Linked DNA regions of Arabidopsis thaliana. The protein of the gene in region 1 interacts with the protein of each later gene in a biochemical or structural test. Each region holds a gene or a part of one and is shown on either strand. Other genes may lie near its edges.

The links.
Region 2: the proteins of PYL4 (region 1) and ABI2 form a complex in vitro, tested with the Arabidopsis thaliana proteins (one study listed by BioGRID).

Annotation. Positions count from the first base shown.
Region 1 is NC_003071.7:16,043,395-16,055,706, reverse strand, and holds PYL4 (PYR1-like 4), read right to left. Parts: upstream 5,790-12,312; 5' UTR 5,457-5,789; coding exon 4,833-5,456; 3' UTR 4,351-4,832; downstream 1-4,350. Other genes in the region: TBL34 (TRICHOME BIREFRINGENCE-LIKE 34), read right to left, coding at 1-219; AT2G38300 (myb-like HTH transcriptional regulator family protein), read left to right, coding at 10,028-10,262, 10,414-10,490, 10,614-10,650, 10,738-10,849, 10,971-11,532. UniProt on the Arabidopsis thaliana protein: Receptor for abscisic acid (ABA) required for ABA-mediated responses such as stomatal closure and germination inhibition. Inhibits the activity of group-A protein phosphatases type 2C (PP2Cs) when activated by ABA. Can be activated by both (-)-ABA and (+)-ABA.
Region 2 is NC_003076.8:23,080,354-23,093,695, forward strand, and holds ABI2 (Protein phosphatase 2C family protein), read left to right. Parts: upstream 1-6,768; 5' UTR 6,769-7,366; coding exon 7,367-7,879; intron 7,880-7,961; coding exon 7,962-8,258; intron 8,259-8,404; coding exon 8,405-8,510; coding exon of another isoform or gene 8,511-8,533; exon of another isoform or gene 8,534-8,594; coding exon 8,595-8,950; 3' UTR 8,951-9,275; downstream 9,276-13,342. Other genes in the region: AT5G57035 (U-box domain-containing protein kinase family protein), read left to right, coding at 390-603, 686-807, 897-1,012, 1,098-1,213, 1,320-1,624, 1,706-1,807, 1,908-2,336, 2,421-3,170 and 1 more; AT5G57040 (Lactoylglutathione lyase / glyoxalase I family protein), read right to left, coding at 3,682-3,770, 3,862-4,149, 4,283-4,448, 4,713-4,763; AT5G57060 (60S ribosomal L18a-like protein), read left to right, coding at 10,611-10,755, 10,946-11,060, 11,142-11,259, 11,381-11,443. UniProt on the Arabidopsis thaliana protein: Repressor of the abscisic acid (ABA) signaling pathway that regulates numerous ABA responses, such as stomatal closure, osmotic water permeability of the plasma membrane (Pos), high light stress, response to glucose, seed germination and inhibition of vegetative growth.

The DNA.
Region 1 (12,312 bases):
GTATGATACGTTATCAAATACCCATTTCCCTTCGAACAAATTACATTCTCTGCCACTGTCCCCTCCGCGATCCGTAACACCGTGGCTTTGAGGATTTTCCTTTGGCAAACTGTTTCTGGACAAAAACACGGCAGTGAATATTAATCCGGCCACAAGCACGGCGGCGATAGTATGAAAGCTAGTTCTAATACCCAGCATCAACAGTTGTCGCTTTGCCATTGGTTATGTGTCTGTTATTGTTGCTGTTATGATGTTTTGTTTTGGGTTATATTGATGTGTCTTTCTCTTACTTGCCTTTTAACTCCAGCCTTCTTGAAGTTATTTTGTTGTTTGGTGGTCAATCAATTTTCTGTAGCTGTCTATATATACATTTATGAATCATTTTCCTAATATAAATTCTAAAACTTTTTGTGTTGACAGTTTGCCAAGCAATTGCCCACTACTTGAAAAATAATATTTTTCCTAAGTTGATTAATGATTAGAGAGGTAAGCTAATTATTCAAGACAAAATCTTAAAGGCTTAATTTGAACTCTGAGATTTAACTTTGAATACTTATTGTGCTTTGTTTGAAACATATACAAAGTAGGATTCTAATGTTTTGGAAAATTAAGTTACTAAACATTAATTATTAATTCTTGCGAAACTATTGTCGTCAAAGTCACTCTAAAACATTAATTAACATGCTCTTGGATAAGAAGAAATTCACTCCCAACAAAAAACAAAAACAAAAAGTATGTCCATTGTGAATGCGATATATTGAAGTTATTTCGCCAATAGACGTGAAATAAGGTCGTGACTCTAGGAAACAAAGTTATGTCAAGACTCTATGAGATAGAAATCCGACGCTGCGTCTATAATCTGACCGTAATCATTCGACCTGTAGTTTAATCTGACCGTGATCTCTTGTTAAATATTATAGCGATTGTGTGTAAATATTTGTCTAGGACTTGCTTAGCAAATAATCGGTCTTTACAAAAAATAATTGAGAGAAGTTTGTATTGTAGCCGTGTGTTTCATGTCACGACTCAAGTGTTTTATTGGCTCCTAAGTTCGACCAGCGTTGTGTGATTGTACATTGTCGTTCTCAGTTGAGTCAGGAATTGTATATGTATCGTCAACTTTAAAGTTGTCGAATAGAAGTAGTGGCCTAGTGGGTCAGACAAAACTAAGTTGTTTGTTTTGGTTATTTAAATAAGATTGTACTTTCTCGGTGTAGTTTCGTATCTTTCTTGGTTTGCAAGTGAAGGCGACTATCGATTAATTTGGTGTTACCGAGAAACCCCCTTGGCATTCTTCATAAAGCATAATAGACATCTGAGAAAGGTGTGGCCACAGGGGGTCACTATGGTATTTGCGAGCGCCCTTTTGGATTTTCATAATCCAAATATGGTTAGAGATGGTCAAATAATATAATATGTAAACGTAAGGTTAAGTTGTTGACGTTTCCACATTCATACTATTCGTTGCCTTCAAGTTACCTCAAAATTCGATTTTCCTTGCTTCGTAGTTTTTGAAAGTATAATTTTATTTCTTGTTTCTATATGTTCTGTCTTTTTTTCTTCTTCTATATGTTTATATATTTCTATAAGTTTTTGTTATAGTAGGGGGATAGATAAAACTAATAAAACATTATATATCGTATTATTTTATAAAATTATTATTTTAATGTTTTTGACATAATCAATAACCAAATAGTCGTGTTAAAAAAAAAAAAATCAATAATCAAATAGTGAACCATTTATCTCATTCTATGACATGATACATCTATTTCTATTTGATAGTTTATGTTTTAGTTTGTTAATTGTAGAAATTCATCATTTTCTTATATTTTTTGTTGTATAGTTTTCAACTATCTTACTCTGAATTAGTTAGAATTAAGTTTTTTTTAACGAATTGTATTGAAAGTTTAGAATAGGGATGACAGACGGGTCTTCCCGCGACCAAACACATTTTTGCCCATTTTAATGATGAATTTGGTTCATAATTGATTTAGATGCATATACTGGAGACTATCACATATGGAAACCAGTCACTTGTATTTTTGGTTCAAATGTCTTTTTGGTTGATATGTTTCTCTAACACAATTTTGTTCTCTCTCTAAAATTCTCTCAATTCACTAAGAGTCTCACAATCTCACCCATTAATTTACATATAGTTACATATGCAATTTCTTTTATATAACCATAGTGGAGTTGATGAGAATTAAGTTCCATTCCGGCTCACCAACTGGTTCGATATGCAACAATATCATTGGTGCGCAAACCTTAAACAAATACATAACTTATGTGATCTATTTTGGACTACATCTAATAACCTTGGAACGATATACACATAGTTAACACAATCTTTCTCAAAGAAGGCATTCACGAATCAAAAAAAGTTGTCTAAACCTTATTAATGTGTCGTGTGTGGCGTAAAAGAAAATAAAAATGCGTCGTGCATGCGTGAAATTCATACTATTCATACTATTAGTTATTACACGTAGGTTGGGATTGCGATTCTTAGAAATGACCGGGTCCAGTTGGGCATACAGGCGGATGCTATAGGCCCATAAAAAGAAGTTTTAAACCTTTCTTTTGGGGGGTTTATTTTAAGTTACAAAACTAATTTCAAATTTTGTTACATTGTGTTAGGTTAGGTACGATTGTCTCTATACGCTTTTGTGGATAGTATTTCTTGTACACAACTTAACATTAGCAGATCGATATTTTTACAAGTTAACTTACCATCTAAAAGCATACATTGCATGCTTTACGCGTTATAACAAATCAACAAATACACCAATGCAGATTTTTCACATCGAAAACATGCTGCAATCGGTATTTTAAAAGTCCTATAACACGGATGACTCAACTCCATGATACAAAAAAGCCATGTATTAAAAAGGCTATTGGAAAGATTCTTAAACAATTCGTCAATACTTATGGCCTTGGACCTTCCAGATGATATTTATAACAGAAAATAAAAAGAATTATGAATTAGTACAAATGATAAATTACCTTAACCCGACCCCAACTACAATTATGGCCATACGCCGATGTAGGTGGTTCGGTCTAGAAGCATCACATGAAGCCTCTTTATATAACAAGAAGCGATATACTAATATGTGGCAACTTGTGAATTATATTCATATACACTTATATTCGATTTTTATTTTTATTTTCCTTTTCTCCAACGATCGGAAATTTGGGCAGAGGTCCAATCAAATTATAGGAAACAGTGGCGTGATGGATCGCAAAGGCACATATACTTTCATTTTTATGTTTTGAGAAATAAGAAAATTCATCAATTTGTAAATCACAATTAATATGTTTTGCCCAACTTGCAAAAAAATCGCAGCTACCCCACTTCCACTTGCACCGCCAACTCTTTCCCATCCCTTTTTTTTGTTTTTACACCTTTCGTGGCCACATTAAGTATGTATCTTATGAAGTTATGATTAGTAAAGCTATGCTATATTTGTCGATATTTGACGACCACAAAAATTAGTAATTGAAAGTTATAACATTTTGTGTATTTTTATGCTATTCCTATTATCGACTGAAAATTTTGTAGTGATGATGGTTACGTAACCATAGTGGTGAACCTCGATAATGATATTGCAAACATAGAAGTAGAAGGTTTTAGATCTAAGGAAAATGAAATCTTTCATTTCATACGATTCATGTTTTGTCGATCAATCACATATCTTTTTGTGGATAGAAGTGTAGAAACCTCTCGAATATATTGAAAAAAACACATTTATATAATTATATTCTAAGAGATCACTTGGAAACGAAACATATCGTGACTCTCGTGATGTAAAAGGACATGCAACTTGCGCTTCTCTCTATTCCATATTTCTTTATTATTATACGAAATTTAATATTATATCTTTTGGATTGGGAAGAACCATAAAGAAAGGAAGTAAAAGATAAAAAAAATTGCAACTTGCATTTTCTTTATATCAAGCGGGAAAAAAAAAGAAGAAGAGAACAGCTTGGCTTGTTGGGTTATCATTCAAAGCATCGTCCACTTGCAAATTTTTATTTCTTTAAATTCATCAACATGTTCGTTTTTTATTTTTTATATTTTGACGGCCATGTTCATATTTTTGTATACATGTATGTTTTGTCCATTTTACGCAATTACCTTTAAGCCTGAAAATCCCCAACTACTCCCTATTTTCTACCAAATAGTTTATGATGACAAATAAAAACTTCAAATCTTGAATTCTCTATCAAATGTTTGATTTTTAAATAACAACTTCACGCTCAATCGGTTATTTTAATTATTATGAAATAATAAGAAAGTAAAAAGTTTGAGGACCTAGTTAAATCATAGAGGAAAGGAACACATTATATTATGCCCAAATTTAAAGTTGCCTTTAAGAAAAATCGTCGAATTTCACAAAAGCTGTTTATACGTACGTAAATTTATCTACACACATTAGATGGCCAACAACTCAATGTAACGAGTTAATATACATCCGAGTCGAACATCATATTGTACCATTTCATTTACGCTTTTTCTGATGAAACTATAGAAAAACAAGATTAATTAAACTTGAAAATCACACTTTTAATTAGCGGACAACACAACCACATTCTTTCAGTTTGAATATTATTATCTTTGGGTGGTGAAAGCCGGAATAGGGCTATCCAAATCGGTTCTTTATGGGATATGTAAAATACAAAAATTAAAAGAAGGATTATGATATGCATGAGAGATTAATTCACTAATGTAACTTTTTTTTCACACATAAGCCGAAAAAACATAGATCACACGACGGCTAAAAATCTAGAAAACGACGTCGGATCTAACGAAACTACCCGACAACGACAAAGACTCATCACAGAGACATCTTCTTCTTGCTCTCAGCCGCAGTATTCTCGGCTATTTTCGCAAGAGATTGAAGATTGCATCGTACGATAACGTCAACGAAGTCACAAGTCTCTTCCTTTGTGTTGCCTGGAGGAACATCAACGACGTAAGACTCGACAACGACGGTCCCGGAGATCGGAGAAGGGTGAAGGGTCGTTACGGATCGGTAGTTAGAGAGCCGGTGGTCACCACCAACAACGCTGAAGCTGATGACGTGGCGTTCGTCGTCGAGGATATCGAGTCTCTCGGTGGAGCTAGCGGCGGGGAGACCAGAGACGACGTGGACTTGACGGAGGCTACCAACGTTATCGCCGTCTCCGCCGATGACGCTACAGCTTTTGAGAAAGTGTTTGTAAGCTTGTGGGTTATCAAAGCGGCGTACGACGGACCAAACGGTGGAGATTGGAGCGGAGATCTCTTGAATAACGGCGGAGCAACACTGATTAGGACCAACCTCGTGTGTGTGAAAACGAGCGGCCGTGGAGTCGCGTGAGAGAGAAGGAAAACGTTTTTGAAACGACGCGATCATCATCGGAATCTGAACGGAATCTCCGTCTGATACGGCGGAAGAAGGACGGTGAACGGCAAGCATGTTGATCTGAGTAATGGTGTCTTCTTGATTTCAAATCTTGATCTCTTCTTTGAGATGGTATTAGGGCTTAGAAAAAAAACTGAGGATTGAAGAGGAAAGTGTATGGAGGAGAAGTATGTGTGTATATAAAAAGAAGCAAATCAAACTTTACAGCGACTTGCGAAAAGTTGGGCTGTGCCTTTCGATTTGAGAGAGATAGAGTTTTTAATGCAGAGTTCATGTGAGTGGTGATAACGAAAAAACCGAGCAAGTTGCTTGTTGTGAAATTACGGTTTTGCCCCTTGCTATAGTTGTTGACTTGACTGTTTTCTATACACGATATTTTTAATTGGGCAAGTGACCAATATATAATTCTCGTATATCAACACTAGAATTATAATATGGGTTTAGACTTTTAGTTTCTTGACCATAACTTTTTTCTCTTCTTCTTGAAATGACCAAGGTATATCTAGGACGAGATTCGTTTGATTGAATACGCTTTAAGAGTTTCGATATTTGGAACGATTGGAATGTAAGATCAAATTCATCAAAACATACAAAGTGAGAATTCTTTCAACTTAGAAGTTCTTCAATTGTTATTTCATAGTATGGCTAGATATATGAGTTTTCAATTGCATATATCTAGCCATACTATATATATGAGTTTTCAATTGCAAAAAAAAAAAAGGTTTTCAATTGCATCAGATGCAAATCTAGATATTTGAAGTATTCAACATCAGAGCCGAATACCACAAAACTAAAAGTGGTACAACCATATATTTAATTACCTGAGAGATTTGATGAACAAGCAGAAGGAGGAACTTTTTGAATGAAAAGTATTGTATTGCTTTTGCTTTGATATGATCTTCAATATACAAAAAAAGGAGCACACAAACAAAAGGGCATGAAAAACCAATCCTCACTAAGAAACACATTTTAAACTATACAAACTAAGGCCCAAATTGTTTTTAGAACCAAACTTTTAATTGGGCCGTATTTTGGAAAGAAAAACTGGTCTATCACAACATACTTTTGTTGTTTGGTTTGGTTACGTTGGCTATAGTATCTAGCTTCGTTATAGGTTGTCTCTTCTTCTACATTGTAACTAGTATTATAGATTTCTATTATTCTCTAGGATATTAGAGTTTACCTAAAGATGTGGAGTTGGCTGATCAGACACAACAAAACGTTCGAAGATATATTTTTGTTGCCGTCGAGGAATTCAATTTCGAGGTTGGGGAAGAATGTGTCGTCTGCCTTGAAGAATATAGCGAGTCTAGACATCCATTGGCCAAGTTGGAATGCCGTCACCGGTTCCATTTTAGCTGCATAATAATATAAACACAAAACATTTACTTGATGCTCTGTTTTCAAGCATTCTGTCTTGTTTCTTTACATTCATAACTCTGGGTTTTCAAACCTTTAACAACTCCGGACATGGACACAAACCCCATCTTAATGATAAGTCATAATACAATGCTATTAGTTCTTTATAATTGCTGTAAATTTTGAATATAAATTTTTTTGATAAGAATAGATTAATATTGTGTATTGAGCTTCACACACATCTTAATATATAAAGCAAAATTAATTCAGTTTTTGTTAACTTAAAATTATCATAAAAATCAAAAACTCGCACAAAGGACGGGTTCTAATATAGTTGATATATATGTTTTACATCTTTTCTTGCTAACATTCTACTAATATCTATATATCTACATAAAAGTACTAGAGAGAATTACCTGCAAGTGAGATTTGAGATATACACAGATGAGTGTATAATATGGTCAGCGGGTCAGGATATGTAACTTTTGTTTGATTATGGGTTTGAAAATGTGCAAATAGACAGACATTACTTCAACTAATTGAGAATAATGTTGGATCCGTATTTGTAGGAATAAAAAATAACTGTTAATTAGAGGTTGACTTCACAGTTCACAAGTCGGGTTCGGGTGTACAAGAATCTTGTCAGGTCACACCTAACTCTTATGATCGTCTCTTAGTTTTTTTTTTCTTTTTTTTTCACAGGCTTAATGGACCCTTTTGTCTAATTTGATGGCATATCTCACAAACCATCCAGTTCCATGTTTTTATAAACATGCTTTTTAAACCTTTAAAATGAAGGACACAAATTAGGATTCTCGGTGCAAAATTGCATGTGGACGTGTAGAAGCAGAAGGAAGATGGAAATTAAGTGTAAAGAAGAAAGGAGTGGTGACGAGAAGCTTGTGAAGGATCGATGGCAAGTCTCTTTACACGTGGGGGGAATGACAAAGTTCTTCTTTTTTCTACTTCATCAAAGCTTACAATTTCCTCTCCTCAACAACTTTTTTTGTTTTTTTTGGTAGGGAACAACTTTTTTTGTTTGGCTAGCAGAATTTTATTTACTAACTGGAAAATATGAACTTAAGCCTATAGTTTAATCTCATGAACTCATAATCTCCATTTAATTCTGCAACGAAGTTTTATTGGATGGCATGTACCCGAATCTATAGTAGATATATACAACTGGAAAACAGTATTGTATATTGTTTTCGTGATGCACCAAAAACTTATGATTGAAATTTACGTAGAAATAAAACAGTACAATTTGTTAGACATGTTAATAGAACTGATCTTGTGAGTGCTCATATTTCTTGGAATTCCAAGAGGACTTCGAAAGCATAATTGGATCTAAAATATATTATATCATAAGCATATATACGTGAGAATGTATTTATCTTATTGTTTTCATAATAGAAGTGGTAAAGGTAAATATTCAAACTAATTGTCGAAATATGCGGAAGAGGTAGTATTCAATGGCTTACGATGACTAAAATCGTAATTACAAAAATCACCATAAACTCGTCTAAAAAGACTTTCTTTGCAATTAAAATTAAACCATATAGGACTTCGATTTATACGGTGTCAAATTTTATAACTATGTATGTTAATATTACATATTTTTGGAACGAACGATGTAAAAAAACGGCTCAACTAACAACGCTATTCATCGCTTCACGGGGTCGGATGTGTAACGTAAACCAAGCAAGGACCACTTTACACATAAACTAATTCTCTCATACGAATCTACAAAAATACATATAAAGATAATATATAATTTTGGGGTAAGAGAGGAGCATTGTCCCGTGATTCTCGTCGAACAAAAAACAGAAAAAGAAAGAAAGAAAGAGGTATGTGTGATGATGTGGTCTACATCAAAGACAGCTGAGCAGTCACACGCCTTGTAATCGTAATTTATTCGTCTATCTACCACTCTCGCTCTTCCATTTTTTGCCTTTAGCATTCAATTCCACGCAAAACCCTAAACCTCATAATCTCATCAAAAAGTTTTAAAGATAAATATATATGAATCTACCCATTAATCAATATATTAGTTAGTATTGTGATTTATCACTTTCTAAATACTAAAAAGTACTCAGAAGATTAGAAGGTTGATTTTAAAAATAAATTTTCTAACTAATTTGATCGCTATATCAATAGAAATGAGAGGATTTAAAATCCATCAAGTATAGTTCACTTCGATAAATTAATATTTTGTATAAATTGATTCATGTCACGTACTGGATCTTTTAAATCGTTGAGGATCAAAAATTATTTTGCAACAAAAAGAAAAACAGAAGGAAAAGAAAGTTTAGTTAACATTAATTTTAAACCAAATGTCTTAAGAAAAAGACAATGATCTCGATCATCAATGATCCTAATTCCGACAAAACTACTCTGAGGTATATTATAATTTTGTGAATTCGATTTTGTATTTAATTATTTTTCCTGGAAACTGCATCACGGTATCAAAAAATTTAAAATTCTTCATTTTTTTGTTTTCTTCTAAACTCAAATAACGTCTCAACTATACTAATATCTTTCTTATTTTCTTATAATTATTAATTTTTTTTTTTTTTTTTTTTTTGTTGTTGTTGTAAATAGTCTTACTTATACTAACTAATTCATTCATAGACTGTTAGTCCCGATACATGAATTTTATCTATATCGATCTTTGTAATCGAAATGTTTGTTTGACGAACTAAGGCAATCTAAGACTACTAAGAATATGCTATATATAGAGCCTAATTTCTATCACACTCATCTTAGCCTTTGGTGAACAATAATATAGAATAAGTGTTACTTGTAATTTGTTGGCATGTTAAGGGTATAAACAACAATTTATCTCATTTATAGGAGTAATAGTTTTCTCCCTCCATGGTTGATATTAATATGCATCCACATATTAAAATATACAACTATTTATATATAGAGCTGTCTATAGTAGAAAAGGGCCGAAATCAATTAGCTGTGAACAGAAAAGAAAACTTTTTAACATATGCAACAAGATTTAGGTGAGGGTTTGTCTACATGTTCCGGGAAGAGAGAGAGAGAGAATCAGAAGTGTATCTTGATCTAGGGTTCACAGACAAAATCTCCATGCTTTGAACTAAGCAGAATTCATCTGGTCTTTTATCTCTTTCATATCAAACCAAAGGATTGATCTATCCATATCGTCCAAAACCTATATCTAGCTAAGCCTAGAACTTCTCTATCGTTTACCACTTTCTTTCTATATTTCTTCTGAATTTGTAACATCAGAAGTAATAATGATTCCAAGTATGGAGGGAGGCGGGAAGACTAACAGAGAAGAAGAGGAGGAGGAAGAGGAAGAAGAAGAAGAAGGTGAAGAGAGTAAGGTTTCAAGCAATAGTACAGTGGAAGAGAGCGACAAGAAGACTAAGGTTAGGCCTTATGTGAGATCTAAAGTCCCTCGACTCCGGTGGACTCCTGATCTTCATCTTCGCTTTGTCCGCGCCGTTGAGAGGCTTGGAGGTCAAGAAAGTACGTCCATAGCTACTAACTTCATCTTTCATCACCTCCTCCACATATATATAAAAGCATAAGCAATTTCTTAGTTATTCTTAGGTTAACTATTTGGTCAAAACCTCATGTGATTTTCTTTTTTTTAATGTGTATGTTTGGTTATGTATAGGAGCAACTCCAAAGTTGGTTCGTCAGATGATGAACATCAAAGGGCTTAGTATTGCTCATGTCAAGAGCCATCTACAGGTATTTGATCTACATACATCTAAAACGTACCTATATATGTGTTGTATTTTCGATTTCGTTTCAAATAATCTCTGAAATTAGAAAAAAAAAGAAATCACTAAATTGTGTATTGGAAAATTTTAGATGTACAGAAGCAAGAAGATAGATGATCAAGGTCAAGGTATTGATTCTTTCTATTTGTGTTCATTAGTTAGTTATCAAGTTATACATGTATAGGCCAATAAAGTGGGGTTTGAATTGTTGGCAGCTATAGCTGGTCACAAACATCTCTTCGAGACTTCCACAGATCGAAATATTTATAAACTAAGTCAGCTACCGATGTTCCGAGGCTATAATCATAACCATGATTCTCCATTCAGGTTGATATAACTTTTTTTTTTGAAAATTTTAGATTTTATGTGTTCCTTAATTTGAATGATATTCCGTTTTAATTATATTTATTCGGAAACTAAATTAATTGTCTTCTTTTGTTTTTGGTAGATATGGAAGTAAAATTTCAAATGCTTCTTTGTGGAACTCTAGCTCTCAAGGAACAGAAAGGAGTTTGATAGACCAAATTAGGCCCGGTTTAATCCGCAACGCGTCGGTTAGCAATAACATCCGTGGTAGTGATTATTGGACTAACAACAAGTCTTTCCAAAACATCTACTCTTCTTCAATTTCTAATCACTTTCCGAAACTACGACACGATCATCACGAACGGACCAATTCAGTCACATTCAACAGCATTCAAGGACACTCAAGAACTTTTCAAAAGTTCCATAACGGTGTTGAGGAGAACACTAATCATTCTTATTGTAGCAAGACAAATGGCAAAAGAGACGCAAGTAGGAGCATTGATCTTGATCTATCTCTTAAGCTAAGACAACCGGAGAAGACAATTTTGGAAGAGACAGAAACAGCAGCAACAACAACGGATCAAACGTTGTCCTTGTCGCTATGTCCAGGGTCGTCTTCGTGGAAAAAGAGCCGACTGATGAAAGATGAAGAGGATCGGACGGTTAAGATTGGTCAGGAGAGTACTCTGGATCTGACTCTATGAATTATATTTAAGAATGAGACAAATTCTAAGTGAGATCTTGAGGTACTTACCGATATCTTAATATTCAGTGTCGTTGTTGTTTATCATTAATCATGTATTTTCTTTATTATTAGAAAGGAAACAAAAATGTTTGATTATATTAACGGTCTTGAGTTTGTTTGATACCGCCAATTTGTATCATCACATATATAAACAAATATTACTAGCCACATCATAATGATTCGATCTTTTGTCTTCTCATAGCAATATACTATATGAAAATTACATATACATATAACAACAAATTTACATCGATTAGAGTATCTCTGCTGGTGAGCTTCATTCATTTGTAGATGAGACTTTTACGTAAATAGTACAAAAATTTTGGTTTCGTATTTATCCGAACAGTACATGGACAATTTTGTAGTTCCAAAACATGTTATAGTTAATAGTAGTGTTTTCAATAATTTCCAAAATCCATCTTCACTCATTTTTCCCTTTTCAGAGACATAGTGAAACAATTTTACACTATGCAAATCCGAAGCCAATTATTTTTGAGGTTTTTACTATATGTGAACAAGATTAATACTTAAACAACAAGACACACCTCGTTCTTTGTAAATATTAAAGAGGTTAAAGATCATAATACAAAAAAAAACATAGAAAAAGTTCACAAATCATCAAATCTTTTGAGTTCATTATTCTATATAAAATTTTATCTCGTGAAATGTTTATTGTATAAGGATGTGATTAGTTGCAAACCAAAAATTAATGTTTAATAGTATTTGATAGGGAACTTAT
Region 2 (13,342 bases), on another chromosome or scaffold:
AAAAACAATTACTAGTCAATAAAATCACTTCTAAATTCGCTATTTGCACATTTTATTCAAAATGAATTATATATCTTTATTAATGTCAACCCCTTGAAATAATATAGAACATTCTTTCTAATATTTTTCTCACAATTATATCAATTAAAACCTTCAAAATTATCAATAAAACGACCATATCTTAAATTTCACAAAAATATAAGTCCCAACATAACAATTTTTTCGAAAAAGACTTTTCTAATAAAGTAGGCGCTTTCAATTTTCACAACAGTCAATAAATACATCACCCACTTTTTCTATCCAAGTCAACTAAAAACGCGGGTCTTCTTCTCCAAAACCCATTTCCTCACAAAATCCATCTGAGAAAAAGAGCAACAAGTTTCATTTTCATGGTGGTGATGACGAACAAATTCTTCGAATTAATCGGCGGAGCTCCGTCGTATTCTTCAGTATCCGTCGCTGTTAAAGGATCCGTCGGTGACGCCGTAGGAGGAACTGCTAGTCGTCGTGCTCTTCGTTGGACAATCGAAAATTTCCTTCCTAAAATCGATAGATTAGTTCTTGTTCATGTCATGCCTACAGTTACTACTATTCCATCTCCTTGTAAGTCTCGATTCGAATTTTTTTGTTAAATCAATTTCGAGATTCATGAAAATTTAACACTAGTTTTTGTTTGATTTAAAAGCTGGATCGAAGATTCCAATAGAGGAATTGGATGAGAGTGTTGTGTCTATGTATAAACGAGATTTGAGAAAAGAATTTGAACAAGTTTTTGTTCCGTTTAAGAGGATCTGCAAATCCAACAAAGTGAGTTTCTGTGAAAGCTAAATTTATGATACTGATTTTGGAAGTTTTGGAGAAGGCTTATGGAATAATTTTACTGGTTAAATGTTTAGGTTGAGACTTTGTTGTTGGAACATCATGATCCTGCAAAGGCTCTTTTGAAGTATATGTCAGATACTGATGTTGAGTGTTTAGTGATTGGCTCTTGCTCTTCTAATTTCCTCACAAGGTAATGTTACATAATGGGATTTGATATCTAGTATGTGTTTGTATATGGTATGATCTTGCTTAGACGTTTGGATTGGTTTTGACAGGAAAAAAGGACAAGAAATGCCATTAACGGTGCTAGGAGAAGCTCCAGAGACATGTGAGATATATGTTGTTTGTAAAGATAGAATCTTAACCAAATCGACGAATCAGTTTACCGCAGGTATGTTTCAATTGCATTGATCTAAAATCTGAAGTCAAGAAGGAAAAAAATACAAGTTTTATTGATTTCCCCTGTGGTTTTTGTTTCTGTGTGAAATTTTCAACAGATTCATCATCTAGTTTCCGTATACCAGAAGGAGCTGAAGCTTATACAGAATCTTTCAGTCGCACACGCTCTGATAAGACAGGGTTGTCTGCTTCATCTATAACATCTTCAGGCAGGATGAGAATTGGAAGGCCTGGCTCTTTACCGCATAGTCATCCGACCTCTCGAGTGTATTCTGATGCACAGTCTTCTTCAACTGATATTGTTTTGGTCGATGACGAACACTGTCGTTCTATCCTTAGGCATAGTACTGTTTCCACTAGTAAAATACAGATGGATCCTAGACCTCACTTAAAAACACCAAAGGTGAAGCATTTAATATATGACCATTTTGATTCTCTGTGACACAAAATGCATATGATTTTGATCCAAGATCTGTTTTTGCAGTCAGGTGTAAGAGCTGAGGTAGAGCAGCTAAGGAAAGAAGTGCAAACCACTCTTTCCATGTACAAACAAGCTTGTGAAGAGCTAGTTCATAAACAAACACAGGTTGGAGTTCTAGAAGAAAACTTTTTTTGTTCTCGAAATCCTTTCCTAATGTTTTTACATCTTATGGATTCATAAACTCAATCCCATGTTGTGACCTCAGGTCCAGTCTCTTTCCTCTGAGTGTATCAAAGAAACAGAAAGGGTCATCACTGCTCTGGAAAAAGAAGAAATGCGAAGGAAAGCAGCAGCAGAAGAGAAAGAAAAGCATCTAAAAGCTGTAAAAGAAGTCGAGGAAGCAAAATCAATGCTAGCCAAAGAGTTCTGCGAGAGGCAATTAGCCGAGCTAGATGCTCTCAAACAGTCCATAGAGAAACAGAAAGTCATTGAGCAACTCTTCTTGAGAGACGGGCGATACAGAAAGTACACAAAAGAAGAAATAGCTGCAGCTACAGATAATTTCTCTTCCCGTAAAATAATCGGCGAAGGAGGATATGGAAAAGTATACAAATGCAGTCTTGATCATACCCCAGTAGCTCTTAAAGTTCTCAAACCTGATTCTGTTGAAAAGAAAGAGGAATTCTTGAAAGAGGTAAATTACTAGTAGTCTCATGGCCTAATAACAACAGCAGCCTTTAACACTCTGAGATCTGAAATCAACTATTTTACTTTGCAGATCTCAGTCTTAAGCCAGCTTCGTCATCCCCATGTGGTTCTTCTCCTTGGTGCTTGTCCTGAAAATGGATGCCTTGTCTATGAGTACATGGAAAATGGTAGCTTAGATTGTCACATCTCTCCCAAAAAAGGGAAACCATCTCTCTCATGGTTTATCAGATTCCGAATCATCTATGAAACAGCTTGTGGTTTAGCTTTCCTCCACAACTCTAAGCCTGAGCCCATCGTCCACCGTGACCTCAAACCAGGCAACATTCTCTTAGACAGAAACTTTGTCAGCAAAATCGGTGACGTTGGACTCGCAAAACTCATGTCAGACGAAGCACCAGACAGTGTGACGGTTTACAGAAACTCGATTATCGCCGGTACACTCTACTACATGGACCCGGAATACCAACGAACCGGCACAATCAGACCGAAATCAGATCTTTACGCATTTGGAATCATAATTCTCCAGCTTTTAACCGCTCGACATCCCAACGGTCTTCTTTTCTGCGTTGAAGATGCAGTAAAGAGAGGCTGTTTTGAAGATATGTTAGATGGATCAGTCAAAGACTGGCCCATAGCCGAAGCGAAAGAACTAGCTCGCATTGCAATCAGGTGTTCGCAGCTCAAATGCAGAGACAGACCAGATCTTAGCACACAAGTCTTGCCTGCTCTCAAACGTATTCTTGAATCTGCAAATAGTAGACTCAAGACAGAACAAGCTAACGCACGAGCACCAACTCACTATTACTGTCCAATTCTTAAGGTAAATCGAATAACCGATGCACACCAACCACAATTCTCGATGGCTCAGGTTTTAAAATGTTTGATTCTGGTTGATTGTAGGAAATAATGGAAGATCCACAAATAGCAGCAGATGGATTCACATACGAACGAAAAGCGATAAAAGAATGGATTCAAAAACATCAAGATGTGTCTCCTGTTACTAAGCATCGGCTCAAACATTCTGATCTTACACCGAACCACACTCTCAGATCGGCTATACGAGAGTGGCGATCTCGTTCACGCTTAGACCTCTCCACTACTCTTGGCTCCTACTGATCACACTAATATATATACAGTCTAGTCTAATTCGTATATTGACTAAATACCCTGAACTTGTTTGAATCGGGTGTATCATCTCTGTGAATATGTATTGTGGTATTATATAATAAGTCAACAAGGATTTGGTTTGCTTTTTGCAGTTCTATATGAAGAGCATTTACAACTGATAATCAAGTGAAAGTTTAGAGGATTCATCTACAAATAGACTCAAATCAAACTTGGGTGAACTCAAGAGCGTTTGCGTCTGGATCACGAGTAAATATCGCTGGCCTCCCTGACTTACTCATTGTATATGCAATTCCTACAAAATCAAAAAATCTTCTTCAGAACGAAAGGAAACATCCTTTAAGCCAAAAGAAACTAAGAAGAAAGAATAAAAAAATATAAACTACCAGCTTTGTCTAAGATCTCTTTCAGATTTGAAACATCACGGATTGCAATACAAGCGTGTCGATCCCGGCCTCCGTGCTCGGGTCTACCTGTTAATGGATCTGGATTTGGAAGCTCCATAAGATGAATCATTTCTGAACCTACCCATAACCATGCTCCTCTATATGGAAGCTTGTCGTGAGGCCTTGCTTCGTTGATCTCAAGGCCTAAAATGTTCTGGTAAAACTCGAGTGACCGTTCTAGGTTCTCGCAGAGCAGACCGACATGATGAACCCCAACAACTCCATAATCTACAATAACAATCAACAATCAAAACTGGTAATCCGAGCTTAGTGTCTATAGATAAATGGTGACATTTGCTTAAAATGTTGTAACCACTAACCAGCAGACAATCAACACAATTACTTATTATCAGTTAATTACCGGTTTTGTTGTTAAGCTCTTTCTCTTGTACAACACTAATCCCTTCAATTGACGATCCTTGTGCCTTAGCCTTCAAGCTATAAAACCTAACATTGATCCTTTCTTTCCTCACACTCTTCTTCTGAAACTCAAACCGCTCTTTCGTAGAGAGATTCGTGCAAATAACCTTCCAAATACCAAAAAAGATTCATCATCAATGATCAATCCAAGGTAAAGTAATCGATTTTGAATGATACTCACAATCCTAATTTCTCCTTTTAACTCAATTACTTGAAAACTAAAGAAAAGAAGCCCTTAATTGCCAAATTTACAAGATTAGCGTCTAGGACTATCTCAAGATCATCCAAAAGGTAAGAACCCTAAACAACAATTTCTGGAAATCGAGTAACCTAACGCTAGGAGTGAATAAAGAAGCTTATTTGTTTGATACCTTTGGTCGTAAATCAAGTGAAGCTGAAGAAGGTCTGAAAATAGAAGCCATGGAAGAGAATCTTGGATTAGGCTCTCAACACAGGAGCAAGAGTTTTTTTTTGTCTTTAAAGTAATGATTTCATGTTTTTTATTTTCTTTATTGGCCAAGAAAATTAAGGAGAAAAACAAAACCTGAGCCACTCAGCCACATAATCACTGGGAAAATCAATTTCGTATTGTCTCGAAAAATATAATTGTTTCAACGACAACAAAAAATCAAACATGCGGTGTGGTGGCAAAAGTCAAACGTTTATTTAATGAAAGTTTATCAGAGAATCGATGGGCCTAGCCCAGTCCAATAGGTGATTCACGTCTCACTATTTTTGCAGCTTCACAAAAATGGTAAGTTGGTAACTTACTATTTCGAGCGAAAATAACTCAGTAATAACTTCCAGATTCGTCAAATTTCTCTTACCTTGTAATGAAGTTTAGATGTTTTAGCTTTATGTATAAAAATTTAAGAATATGGTCTAATTTTATATAATTTTCTTATTATCATTTTGTATTTGATATCATATTGACAAAATTTAACAAATAGATATTAGTTGTACTTCTATGTGACCGCCACTTTATTCAATACTACCTTTTAAGTTTTAACAGATCCGTGTAGCAACTGATCATCTCAAAATATGTGACACATAGTATACTATACAATATGAGCTGGTTTTGTTTTTTATTTTATATCGAAAGATATTTTACTTTATCTGACAGCTGCGAGAGATCCTAAAAAAAATGAATTAACTTTAAAGAAATTGCATGCGTCTATCTATCTACGTATATCTCAAAAATAAAAATAAAATCAAGGTCACATGACTCATATCCAGTGAATAAAAAATATTCATGAAATCGTAAATAAATAAATAAAAACAGAAATTCATATATACGTTTTTAGTTATATAACTATACGATTGGTTCAGTGTATTTGTTGCCCAACCAAAGCTACTTTCACTTCACATATCATTACATGGTCCAATGATTATGGAACACGTATTATTATTTTTGTTTAAAAACAAGTAAATAAATAAAACAGACACCAAATAAAAAAGGAAACACAAAGATATTTACGGAAGTTAAAAGAGAGGTGTTGTCTATGTCAGTGCAATGAACCTCTTCGGCTCATCTTTTCCCGCCATCCCAACTAACAGATCTCTCACCGTACACGCCATCCTCTTCACCAAATCTAATGACTTTCTCTCTGTCTACGTGGCGATCATCCGGTCTGTTTTCCGACAATAATGGGACCCATTTGATTGTTATTTCGAAAATGATTTTATTTTTCTTCAATATTGTTTTTTTCTTCAATATTGTTTTGGAAGTAAAAAGAATCATCTGTTGACAACACAACACTTCTTGCCTTCTCGAGTTTGATTCTCCTCCTTTCTGTTTTTGGTATCCACCCGATTGTCATTATTTTATTTTGAACTCTAGAACCAAAAATATCAGAGCAAGCTCTCTAGTCAGTAAATTTTGTAATTATTATAGTACCTCATTTTTATTAGTAGCATTAATGTACTAGTGTGGTCAGTGTAGATGAATATATTTTCTACTAAACTAATAAAAATTGTATCATAATTTGTATATTTTTTGGTGTTTTCATCTTTTACTATAAAATATATTTTTGTGACATATGGCATGTTACACTAAACAAAAAATAAAATAAAAGAAATTTGTTTTTGTATAAAATAAGTAAATTACGTTTTTTGTCGACCAATTTTGATTAAAGCTCAAAAGAAAAGAGCAATTCCTAAGAGATATTATTTTTATGTGAAATAAGTAAATTACTCATTATGTAAAAAGTTTGGATTTATCTTAAATCTAATTTCATAACGTTTAATGCAAGATATTTTGGTAAAATAGGAAACGTATAAAACATCTGTATTCAAAACTTCTATAAAGATACCCAATAATAATGGAGGGGTGACACGATAGTAAATAGAATAAGAAATAAAATTTAATCAAGTCAAAATAAAATAAATACCCTTTGTTTTTGTTTCCACAATTCCTTAAGTCTTTCTAATTACTTTGTTGTTCACTAAAACATCTCACATTGTGCTATTTTTTTTAATAAATAAAGACCTCTCTCTTTAAAACTGATTATCCCCTAAACTATTTGTTTGTGAGAAAGAAAGAGAAAAAAAAGTTTTTTTGGTTGGAAATTAATTGAGGGAGAGAGAGAGTTCAGAATCTCTAAATGGCTGAAACGAATTGCCCAGAATCCAGGAAACTCTGATTTTAGTCCTTTTTTCCTCGGGAAAACGTTTGCTTTTTCTTTTTTGTGTGTGTTTGGTTCTTTAATTGACAAATCTCTCTCTATCTGTTTCATGTGCTAGCTAAGGTTGTCTTCACTTTCCTCTAATGAGTCATGAGTTTCTTGTCTTCATCTTCATCTAATAAAGTTAACAACACTCTCATCAATTTTTATTATGTTCAAATCTGTCTGACTTTTCGTTCTTTTCTCTTACACCCAAGCGTTTTAACAATCTAACATCTGTCTCTTTGAATACTTAGATATCCAACTTCAATTTCTCTCCTTTCTCTTCCCAACTTTGATTCCTGATTTGGGTTTTTGTTAAAGTTCAAGAAAGTTCTTTTTTCTTTTTTTTTCCTCCTTTAATGGACGAAGTTTCTCCTGCAGTCGCTGTTCCATTCAGACCATTCACTGACCCTCACGCCGGACTTAGAGGCTATTGCAACGGTGAATCTAGGGTTACTTTACCGGAAAGTTCTTGTTCTGGCGACGGAGCTATGAAAGATTCTTCCTTTGAGATCAATACAAGACAAGATTCATTGACATCATCATCATCTGCTATGGCAGGTGTGGATATCTCCGCCGGAGATGAAATCAACGGTTCAGATGAGTTTGATCCGAGATCGATGAATCAGAGTGAGAAGAAAGTACTTAGTAGAACAGAGAGTAGAAGTCTGTTTGAGTTCAAGTGTGTTCCTTTATATGGAGTGACTTCGATTTGTGGTAGACGACCAGAGATGGAAGATTCTGTCTCAACGATTCCTAGATTCCTTCAAGTTTCTTCTAGTTCGTTGCTTGATGGTCGAGTCACTAATGGATTTAATCCTCACTTGAGTGCTCATTTCTTTGGTGTTTACGATGGCCATGGCGGTTCTCAGGTAATGAATCGATTTGGTTTCGATATGATATGATCGGAAACTGCAAAAACTTGGTTTTTGACATTTGTTTTTGTGTGTTTAGGTAGCGAATTATTGTCGTGAGAGGATGCATCTGGCTTTGACGGAGGAGATAGTGAAGGAGAAACCGGAGTTTTGTGACGGTGACACGTGGCAAGAGAAGTGGAAGAAGGCTTTGTTCAACTCTTTTATGAGAGTTGACTCGGAGATTGAAACTGTGGCTCATGCTCCGGAAACTGTTGGGTCTACCTCGGTGGTTGCGGTTGTCTTTCCGACTCACATCTTTGTCGCGAATTGCGGCGACTCTAGGGCGGTTTTGTGTCGCGGCAAAACGCCACTCGCGTTGTCGGTTGATCACAAAGTAAGTATAGATGTTTCTATGAATGAATTAGTACAATCATATATTCATTAGGACTTGCGGTTTTTTGTTATGGTGTTACCAATCATAGCATGTTTCTATAGATTAGTTAATGTACTTATAGCGTTTGGGTCTACATTTATGTGTAGCCGGATAGGGATGATGAAGCGGCGAGGATAGAAGCTGCCGGTGGGAAAGTAATCCGGTGGAACGGGGCTCGTGTATTTGGTGTTCTCGCAATGTCAAGATCCATTGGTAATTATTTAACTTTCTCTTGATAATGATCCATGAATTTGGTTCTTTTAGTTGTTTCCTTACATTACAACCCGTCGCGAACAGGCGATAGATACCTTAAACCGTCAGTAATTCCGGATCCAGAAGTGACTTCAGTGCGGCGAGTAAAAGAAGATGATTGTCTCATCTTAGCAAGTGATGGTCTTTGGGATGTAATGACAAACGAAGAAGTGTGCGATTTGGCTCGGAAACGGATTTTACTATGGCATAAGAAGAACGCGATGGCCGGAGAGGCTTTGCTTCCGGCGGAGAAAAGAGGAGAAGGAAAAGATCCTGCAGCAATGTCCGCGGCAGAGTATTTGTCGAAGATGGCTTTGCAAAAAGGAAGCAAAGACAATATAAGTGTGGTAGTGGTTGATTTGAAGGGAATAAGGAAATTCAAGAGCAAATCCTTGAATTGAAAAAGAAGGTTTGGAAGAAAAGTGAAAAAAAAAGTTTTGATGGTGGGTAAAAATTCTCTTTAGTGAAAAAAGAAAGATAAAACAACAGGTAATAATTACATTGTAATATTAATTTCCTGCTTAAATTTGTTATTTACTTTCTTAGTCTTCCCACCATTATTTAATCTTTTTATATTTATTTTACTAACATGATATATATAATGTACATGGGAATAGTGTAACTTCCAAACAAAAAGCCCCCTTGTATTTTTTTTTATCTTGGGGTTAGTTGTAATAACACTACATTCGTCTACGTAAATATTTAGTGTTATTATTTGATGTTTCATAACTTCTCTTTGTGTGTGTGTTTTCGTTAGAGTGATATAGTTTCAATAGTATTGACATCATTTTTTCATTACCAAAAATTACATTAGTCTTCATCACCATAATTTTTTCATTTTGTTTAAATCTACTAAACCAACCAGAATATGGGATGGTTGAATAAACGTCACAATAATTTGTAAATCCATGTGAATGTTTAGATTGTAGGTGATTGAAGACAAAATAATACATACTTATATCACAAGTTAATTGTAAAGTGGTGTGTAAGGCAGCTTTTATCCCCAAGAAAAATCATCTTTTTATCACATCAACATTATTCAACAATTACACAAAAAGGTAAATATCATATTTAAATGTGAAAGAATATAAATAAAATTAGTCTTGTGAAAAATTTAATCTCTTCGAATAACATTGTTTTATTATTCTTATTTCATAAAAAAGGAAAGAAGTAAGCGTTGGTTAGTAAAAGAGTGTTTTTTACTTTCTCAAGAGTTTCAATTTCTTCTTCTTCAGCTTTATACGCATTTAAAGCGCCGACGAAGTTGAACACTGAAGAAGAAAAAGAGGAGACGACACGATTTTTGTCTGAATTATCAGATTCAGATTTCGTTTAATCGCCAGATTCATTTCGAAAAATCTTGCACTAGATTCTCTTATCTTCGGTGAGCTCTCTCTGCGATCTTTGTTTTTTTTTCCGAGCAATTTCCGGTATTTAATGAAACGATGGATCGACGAATTGATTTATTTGTAAAGCTAATCCTGTAGACAACTGAGCTCAAAACATTCAATTTTTGTTAAAGAGACGAGTCGTATCTCGAGTTTGAAGTTTTCGCGGTTGCTGATTGATTTGATGGGGATTTGAAATTTATAGTGTGAGTTTTGGTTAGTTGCTGCTAGGGTTTTCGAATCACACTTTGTATTGTTGGTCTTGTGTTGATTGAAATGTATCTCTAGTCTTTGATTACTGCTTGTGAAATTCTGATGTTTTTATTATGATTGCAGGGAAATTGAAGATCTGGGTCATAAGCAATAGCTTAAAGCATGGACGAAAGTAATTATCTCTCTTGACTCTTCAACTATGAGCTTTGAGGTTAATTTTACTAGAATATTGAGTCACAGAGTTCCATTTATATCTAGTTACAGAGTTGAGTTGTGAATTTGTTTTGTCCTAGTTGAGATTGAGATGACTTAGATGAGATCACTAGACGACGTTGTTTCTCTCCTGTCCATTTTCATTTTTCATGATTTTGTTTGAGTGAAAGTGTTGGAAATGTACTACAAAGTTTTTAAAAGGAGGATATACACATATATATATGTGTTGCTTTGAACCTTCTTGGATATGTGTGCAAGTAAATATTGTATCTGTTTCATTGCAGATTCTAAATTTGTATCTGGAAACGGTAGAACCGAGCTGGTTAAATTCATTGCTGATAGGCATGCCAAACTCATGAAACAAGCCTCTCGACATTATTCCGCAATTAAAGGTTAGTACCACAACCTGTTTTACAAACTATTACCGCCTATGCACCTAGTCTTGTCATGTATACAAGTTCAGAAATTCTGATTCTCACCATCGAATATATTAAACGTAAGATGTGAAAGATGAAGCATTCATGTCAACACCTTCTTATCACTGTGAACTAAGTAAAAGACACTGTCTCTGTTTTTTGGTAGATGCTATGGCTCGTGGGAAAAAAAGATATACACTTGTAAAAGATGTAGACGACATGGAAACAGGAGCATATGACAAACCTCTTCCATGCTTTGGTTGTGGAATCGGATGGTTTTCGTGAGTACTTGTTCTCCTATTAATCCCATGTTATCTGTTTTAAGACCAATCCTGATTTAATCTTCATTTTGCCTTTAACAGCTTCCTCCTAGGATTTATGTTCCCATTTTTGTGGTACTATGCTGCATTCCTTTATTTCGGGAACTATTATCGTAAAGATCCTAGAGAAAGAGCCGGTCTTGCTGCTTCCGCAATCACTGTAAGTGCTTTCATACGATTCTATGTGTATGCATATTACTCTTAGAGATAGCTTTTGTAGTCTAACAATGTTGTTCTTGATTAAACGAAATAACAATGAATTCGATCTTAAATTGTTGCAGGCGATGGGCTTCTCTCTTGTCTTACTCGTGATTTTTGCTTTCCGGTGGTTTTACTATCCTTGAGATAAAGAAGTAACTATGTTAACTATCATTCATACCTATAAGCTCCGTGTTCATCAAGGAATAGTCTCGGAACTTGATGTCTCATGTACATTCACATAAACCAAATGAATTTCACTTCGATATTTTTCTCAAGTTGTATATTTTTTTTGTTGAATGAAAGTTTTTCAGTCCCTTACTAAGGTGGACCAAACTACAAGCCGTTTTATATATCCATAAAATCTTCAAGACGGCATGATGTGCAACTCTCAAAATGTAAAAACGGAGTATGATGTTTCCAATGATAGAGAGAGGTACGGTAGGTTCGTGTATCTTTTGTACTTATCAACAAAAGAGAAGTTTGATTGATTCGATTATTCTCAATCGCTAAAAGCTTCCAATTGGTTAATGCCAGGACAAATTTGTGGATCTCTTCCAAGTAATAATCGAATCATTAAGAGCTTTAATTGTTGATTTTATAGTACTAATCAATTACTACAATAAGACGACATGTAATACGATTGGATCATGTGGTATAAATCGCACGTGTGGGAGACAGACAGGCTGTCTGAAGAAACTTAGACGATACTTCCGATTCATCTAGCGTCTCTCTTTTCCCAGCCTGTCTCTTTCTCTTCTTCTTTTTATTTTTATTTTTAACTTTCATAATTATATATTTTATTTTCCTATTTTGGCTCGTTTCCAGACCAATATACAGGTATCTGTACCTAAACTCCAGATTTATGTCCATCTGTGTCCAATTATTTTAATCATCATTCTTTGTTTGCTATAAAACATTTCTTAAAACTGCATTTAGCAACAAAAATTTGAGTTTGAATCAGGTAGCTAGCTAAGACAATATCACTGTAACCAATTGAGTTACTAATTTAACACTCGGACAATTACTCAATTAGCAATAGTATAAGGGGTGGCTTCTTTAAAATCTTGTATTAATTCAAGGGTTGTTTGTGTTACATGATTTTCAATATGCAACTATCAGTAAATTACAACTCTATATGTTGAAGCTGATCACGGTCTCTTTTGATAAAGATACTTACAATTTTCTAAGTTTTGAGTCTTGAGAAAAAGACTGTTCAATGTTTGGTGGATTTGTCACATGTATGAACCATAAATAATGTTGATCTACTATGGAAACTATTGATTCGATGGCTCAGCAAATTTTTGGTTGGACAAAATACTTTTTTGATAATCACTTTTTCTTTCACTAACTTTTACCTGCCTACGTAAATCACCTGCAGATTCATTAATTTATGAGATATTAGAAAACCTTGTGTGATCTCTCGAAACCGATTTTCTCTTATATTATAAGCCATAATGTTTTCTTTATACGTAAATCGCTATCCTCCTTTCCTTTGGTTAATAGTTTTATAAGTATGATTTTAGTTAATGCTTACTTTTCTTTCTTTGGTCTTTAGGTTTAATAGTGGGACACTGAATATGAAAGTTTAGAGCCAAAATTTCAAAATATTAATAATATTTCTTTTTCACAGACAGAAAAGCTGGTGGCGAGGGCCATAATTTTAGGACTATCAAATTCTATATTTTCAAGCATTTGTTAGATTGTTTTTTTCTTCTCATAACATGTTAACTTGTTAGTTGTTACCATAATTTTTTATATTTTAAATTTTTGGGTTTGTCTTAACGTCAAGATATTAAGTAAATAATTTACAAAAAAAATAAAATTTACGTATATTTTAGTATAAGTTTTGATCTCTTTCTGGTTATCAAAAACGTATGATCCCAGCTTTTATTAAGCATTTAATTGTTTGTTTCCAAAAATAATAATAGTATGAAAATAAATTGGGAAATGGTGGTGGCCGAGTGTACAACACATTAACGATAAGGTGGAACGTTACAGAACCCAAAAATCAGGGTTTATATATTCATTAATTCGCTTACAAG